Kluyveromyces lactis: one gene and its partner. The protein of the gene in region 1 interacts with the protein of each later gene in a pairwise test. Links are inferred from orthologs where the notes say so. Each region holds a gene or a part of one and is shown in the gene's direction. Other genes may lie near its edges. The genes, in order: BFA1 and BUB2.

What was found.
Region 2: the proteins of BFA1 (region 1) and BUB2 interact in binary tests that used the Saccharomyces cerevisiae proteins (3 or more experiments, as listed by UniProt). The link is inferred for Kluyveromyces lactis from reciprocal best matches to the Saccharomyces cerevisiae genes BFA1 and BUB2.

The regions. Positions count from the first base shown.
Region 1 is NC_006037.1:713,912-717,832, forward strand, and holds BFA1 (Bfa1p), read left to right. Parts: upstream 1-1,435; coding exon 1,436-3,265; downstream 3,266-3,921. Other genes in the region: PRP39 (Prp39p), read right to left, coding at 1-955; pheromone-regulated K(+) transporter PRM6, read left to right, coding at 3,792-3,921. UniProt on the Saccharomyces cerevisiae protein: Part of a checkpoint which monitors spindle integrity and prevents premature exit from mitosis. This cell-cycle arrest depends upon inhibition of the G-protein TEM1 by the BFA1/BUB2 complex.
Region 2 is NC_006042.1:2,446,589-2,449,480, forward strand, and holds BUB2 (Bub2p), read left to right. Parts: upstream 1-1,253; coding exon 1,254-2,165; downstream 2,166-2,892. Other genes in the region: MUD2 (Mud2p), read right to left, coding at 2,160-2,892. UniProt on the Saccharomyces cerevisiae protein: Part of a checkpoint which monitors spindle integrity and prevents premature exit from mitosis. This cell-cycle arrest depends upon inhibition of the GTP-binding protein TEM1 by the BFA1/BUB2 complex.

The DNA.
Region 1 (3,921 bases):
TGATGTATTTTTGCTTGAAAGATTTATTATCAGCAGGAAGAGCCCGGAGTGCTCTTTCAAACAAGGGGAACGTACATTCGGGACCAAAAGTCCTTTCAGTCCAGTCAATATAGGCTCCCCAGAAATATTCGTATCTTAAACATGGAATCAAACATCTCTCAAACGTCGATTTTATTAATTCTGTACTGAACTCAGTGTTGTTGATTAAGAAAGATAGATAAGCATCCCAATTCTGAATCTCATTCTCGGGAAGCTCAGGGATATTGAAAAATGGCTGTTTTATTTGTGATTCATATGTCCATATTTTGTTCACCTTCTCCTGGTTAGAAATAAATGTGGTATCCAAATGGATGCTTGATTCCCTATTAGCAAACTCTGGGTGATATTCCAAGAATTCCTTAAAGCTGGTGTAGTATCTTGCATATTGATGCAAAGGTTGCTGCATGACTTGTTTGTACACCTCAAATACGTTTTCCCAGTTCTGTAGTCTTGTTTCATATGCAATGTGCTTATCCCAAATATCGTGCGAGAGGAAATGAGATCCCACGAGGGATTCGCATTTCCTGAACTGGTTTCGTATCAGTTCACTATCATTCTGATTATGTGTTAGATAAACGTTCAACATATCAATCCAAAGATCTATCGACGTAGGGAACGAATGTAAAGATGCCTTTAAAGTAGAAATAGACCCTTCTAATCCATCTAGCTGATATTTCACCGCAACGTATCGTTTCCAGTAACCAAAAAATAACGGATACCTTCCCAATAACTCATCAAAAACTTTATATATATTGCTCTTCACATGTTCATTGGGATTATTGTATTTCTGTACCAATGCTTCTGTACCAACCACCAGTTTGTCGATAGTAGTTATATCGTTCCAGTCAACAGAATTATAACTCTGCACCCATTCATCGTTATTCTTCAGAAAAGTTTGGTCTAATCCTTCAAACATTTCATAAAATCCCTAGTTTCCTTCTTAAATTTGATATGCAAACCCCTGCTGCCGACTTCACACTCAAAACGGCTCACGGATAGCAGCTAAAGGCTCTTGTTCTGTTTGGTGGCATCATGCATCTTTAACAGAGATTTATCTTAAAGAATTACAATAATACGGTTCTTTGCAATTTTGAATCATTTTGGAAGCATGAAAGAAAAACAAACAGAGATAAACGCGCCTAAATGAGTGTTTAAAAGGTAATTATTAACTTAGTCGAATTCTGGGAATCTCAGTGTTTTATAGGAGTGCTCGAAATGCAGAATTGGCGTCTCAACAGCGGTTTAAACAGCAATTAATATAGTATCACGTCTCACGAATATGATTATTTTGTTTAAGGTTAATAGATACATCAATGACGGAAGCATTAAAGGTATGTTCGAGATGTAAACAAAGGAATAAACAAGGGAAAAGACCAGGGACAATCTTCGATTATCGATGTCTATACGTCCAGTTGTACTGGATGATGTCGGAGAAACATCATTTGAAGATGTTGAAAGCACATTTACTTATAAAGATGATATAGAGGTACCGAGATTGGCACCTAATTCAGCTACATCCACAACTACGGAAAATACCACATTCTCTAAGGATAAGAGGTATTCATCACACACGGAACTGGCGAGCGATCTTGATGATGATATGAACTATAACAGTGATTTTGAAGAGTACCAAAATGGTACAGACCTACCTCTTGCTGTGGATAGACGATTTAGGGAAAGTTCGGATCAGGACGAGCTAGCTGATTTGCAAGAACAACTGGAGAAGAAGCTATCATTGAACCTGAGAAATTCTAAGACCGGTGGTGGTAGTGGTACTAGAAATGTGGATCAATATATAAACCATGCGGGACTAGTGCGGCCATCGTTGAAGGATTCGGTACGACAGCGTAGATCGATGGTCGATTTGGCAACCCGTAGTAAAGGTAATATTACAAGCTTGAATTCACAGCAATCGCGTCGAGTACCGAACAGCAGGTCTTATATGAACCTTAGACCCAGTTCTGGTCGAACTCTCAGTTATAAGTCATCTATGCCATCGTTAATGAGGTTCAACCGTCAAGATGTGTTACTTGAGGACGAAGATGACGAAGATGACGATGAAGATGAAGATGATGAACCCTATCCATATGTGCCCAGAGTTAGAAGGAGTTACAGGGATCTTGGACCAAGGTTTGGTGAAAGAACTGATGACGGTAACGTTGTCCAAGACATTGCTGTTGAGGCTACAGAAATGGCTAATAATGGAGACGACGATGACGATAATTTCGGTAATGATTTTGAAGGAATTGACGATAACTTCCAGTTCGCTACTAATAACAACAATAACTTTTCAGCATTTGATCCAACATTACGTTTATCACCCTCAGAGTATGATATCGAACATGATGACACTTTATTAACACCACAGCTGCATAAGAAGCATTATGCGTTCGACGCTCCGTTGGATTCGTATAGGGAAGCTCGTCAACAACGGGGTACGGCAAAACAGGCCGCTGCTGCTGCTGCTGTTAACAGACGTAATTCTACAAGAGCTCGTGCTCGTTTAAAGACAATAAGACAAGAAATTGATCTCAACACGCCGTTGAAAAGAGGTAAGATGAAATACAACCCAAGGGAGAAACGATGGGATGGTAATGAGGATATTTTAAGCAGTTTCGATAACATTGAAAATGTCGATCGGAAAGCGTTTATCATCAAGAACAAAAGGTCAAAGTCTCCGTTGAAGACTTCGTCCTCTACTCAAATAGCGGCATCAGGGACGAATGCGGCCTCCTCAAATTCTCAGCATGGGAAGGTCGTGGGAAAAATGAGATTTGATGAAAAGAACCTAAGATGGCTACGAGTTGATGGTACTGAAGAAGATCCGTTTCATGGTATCACAGACTTGATGCCAAGATCTCAATCTTCACCTACCAAGAACGTCAAATTCCAATCACAAGGACATTCTGGTAACATTCTTCGATCACAGTCTCAACTGCCGTTCGGAAGAGATGAGCATGGAAATAGATTTATCTCTTCAGAATCCACACGATTCCACTCTTTGACTACAAACTCAACCACAGATCCTACGTACCAAATTACAAGCAAACAATTAGAGAAGTTTTACCATGAAGAGAATAAATGGAGCAGGAAGGTAGGTGGATGGTTCATTCTTGGTGATAAATCTAGAGACACTGGTTCCGCAGACCAGTCACATACCAGTTTAAATGACAAATCATACATGTACGAAATCAGGAATATGGTTATCTCATCAGCGCGTAACTGATTCTGAATCAGTGTCCTGACATGTGTCACCTACTATAGCATTTAATTTATTCAGAGACAATAACTATACATATAAAAAATCATCTTTTATGATAGAACGGAATAATCTCTCTAACATAACATCTAGGTCATTCTATGTTACAAAGCCTATCGCACTACATATTCGGCACTGATTTCCTTAATATAGTCCCTTTAAAACCATCGGTTTTTGTTCAGAATTCGATTATAGATCACGGTCAAAGAATCTTTTTATAGGAAATCAACATTTCCTTATATAACAACATTAGTTTTAAGATGAAACACGAAAGTAAATAACAACAGTTGGAGGTTTAGAATAGTCTATTTGGTACTTAAGAGACATTATATTGGTGGTATCATTGTATCCCATATCAGAATCAATTTTGGAGCTCCCAATCAGTATCTTTTTGTTTTATCTATGGTATATGATTCACTTTGAGATTATTTATAGATACTTGCAAAGACTGATCTGTTTAGTCGAATAACCTGAGTGCATTCCCTCTTCTAATATGTTTGATAATGATAGAAAGTTGGATCTTAACTCTAAGACCTTTGATGTGCTTGATCTCGAGCTGTTCAAGAACTATAGATTCAAAACTGTGGTGAGTTATGTGTTCATCTTTTGGGGCTTAACAATTT
Region 2 (2,892 bases), on another chromosome or scaffold:
TTTCGAGCGATAAAGTTTCAGCCAATTCTTTCCTGCCAGTTTACATTCTTTTTCTTCATTTTATTTTTTCCTTCCTTCTATAATTTCTTATTCAGTTCAATGGAATCGGAAAAAAATATACAGGCTCGAATGAGAAAGGTTTTTGGGCCCAGGCCCAAAAATCAAGGCCCCGAATAGTCTCCATACATTGCCAAGAAAGTTTTTCAGTTTTTAGCTTTTCTAAATAACTACAAGATAAGGCGCAGTATATTGAGAATTGGATTTTTTTCATCAATGCTAATAGCGGATCACTTCTCCACCGTTCTTGTTCCGTAGGTGGAGGAGAGCCTTTAGGGTGAGAAGCGGATGAGGAAAGGGTATCCGTAACGGCCCCATGTCACTGAACGTGCCAGAAGCCCTTTGTGAGCGAGCACCAAGATTTGTCAGTTTTGAATCTTGGCAAACGAGTAAATCATGCTCGATTCCGGGCCTTTTGCGTTGTCATTCTTCTTGAGTAGGTAATCGGTACACATAGAAGTGTGCTATATCTAATCTATCAACGATGCCAAGTTTATCTATGGCTGCACTTGGGCCGAACGCCCAGTACTGAACGTAGGATACTTGCCAATTTTCGCTTTTTCAATTTATTTTTTTATTTCATTACGAATGAGAAATACATTATTGCACCCAGGGAAATTTCATGGAATGGTCAGTTTTCTACTGTAGGTCGAAACTGCAACTCTCAAACTTGCTGTAATTACTCTATTTTCTATACTCTATATCGTAATGATGTTCCTATTTACCAGCGTTCTTTTTCTTTTTTGATAATTTTCATACAAACACTTTTTTTCCACCATTTTTGAATTGATATCGAGTTATGTACAATTTGAACGAGTCAGTCTAGGTGTTTAATCCAGAACCGTGAAAAAAACAGGGTGCCATTTTATGATTATGTGTATATATGCATGCGTATGTGAATCTTTTTGTCTCTAACACCGATAATATAGTCTTGGCTAGTTTTCTGTTCAGACGGTATTCTGAAAGCTACATCTGCTTCGACCTTCTTAACAAAATCCCGATCCACGTGATCGAATTATTTGTCACACCGGGTAATTAACATATCTTGGTTAGCCTTTGTTTACCATTTATGCGAAATATGGATCTGATCCAATGCATAATATCATCCATATGTCTAAAAGGTGCATATATTTTAGAATAAGTGGTAATAACGCCAGTTACTGGCCAGTACTCTAGCAATTGTCGACGATATCGAAATGTCGATTGAAAAATTCATCTCTCAGCCACCGCTCATAGTTCATTCTTCGCTTTCTCAACTGCGATACCTCGTGTTATCAGAAGGGTTGTCCGATGAAGATCATCAACGTACAAGATCTCACGTTTGGTCCATCCTCTCCCGAGCATCGCTGGAAAAATGTACTCAGGAATACCTGCGGCTAGTACAATTAGGCGCACCACCATCGAATTGGATCTCTAAGATTAAAAATGATACTTTCAGAACGCTATCCACAGATGAAAAATTTAGGAATAAGGTCACTGAATCGCAACTAATTAGAGTCCTATCTTGTTTCGCATGGGATGTTCTTGATAGTAACCAAACACATGAACTTCCAGGTCTTTCCCCTTATGTGCAGGGTATGAATGTGCTGCTGGCACCCTTTCTATACGTTTGCCCGACCGAACCTATTGCATATAAACTGTTCCATTCGCTTTGCTTCCAAATGATACCCACTTATTTGAACCAGTCTTTATCCGGCGTTCATGTAGCAGCCAAGTTATTGGATAAATGCTTAAAGATCATTGACCCTAAACTGAGTAAATTTCTAACAGATAATTTATTGACAGCAGAGATATTTGGCATTCCCTCAATATTGACTTTGTCCGCCTGTAATAAACCACTGGATCAGGTTATTAAACTATGGGATTTCATGTTCGCTTATGGATTTCATATGAATATCCTTTTCATTGTGGCTCAGTTAGTCATAAATAGACAGGCTATTATGGTTTCTTCCTCTCCTATGAACCTTTTACGTGAGACACCGTCTATCAATGCAGATGAAATCATCACCCTAGGAGTTGGTTTTCTAGCAAAACTACCTGATACGTTGTATACAAATTTGGTAGATCATCTTACGGATGAATCAATTACAATGTCTAACCATCTATAAAATACCCATATCATAATCCGTCTCGCTATAGTAACTACATAGAATGGTTCTTTGGCAGAACTGTGACCCAGGTAACACCAGCATTGCCTTTTCAGCACCAACTAAATCCCTGAACTTAATAAACACCTTCCCAATGGAAGAATGAATGTGACTCATATCATTACGGTAGTCTGGGTTAGGTAAGGGGATTTGGACTGACTCCACTTCACCACAACTTTGAATTGGCGTGCCATACATCATAGCTTCCTTGATCTCAGTGACAAATTTTTCATTCTTCAAATCCATTGGATCAACGCTATTCAATACACATACAACCTTACTAGGCTTTTTCTCGTACTTTTTAACCAGGTGTGGGAAGTTTTCATATGTGATTGATTTGAAATTCTGCTGCATACTGCTCTGGTTTGGTCTGATGGTCATTGGAAGCTTCTTTTGATCTTCTGCTTTGGGTTCATATAATAACGCTTTAATCCATGAAGTTCTCTCGTCACTCCCTTTTAATTTCATTAGCTGTAACCAACTGTATTCGACTTGTTCATCAATTAACCATTGCTTAGTACTTTCTTCGTCTTCACATTCGGGGCCAAGTTTTAACAACGAAAGCACTGATCCATGATTTATCGGTTGCACGTTTCCCGTGTCGTTGACACATCCATTGGGACGTGACCAGATAAACTGACTGCTGATCTTTGATTCTAAGTACTTCTGGCACGTTAGTACTATGGTC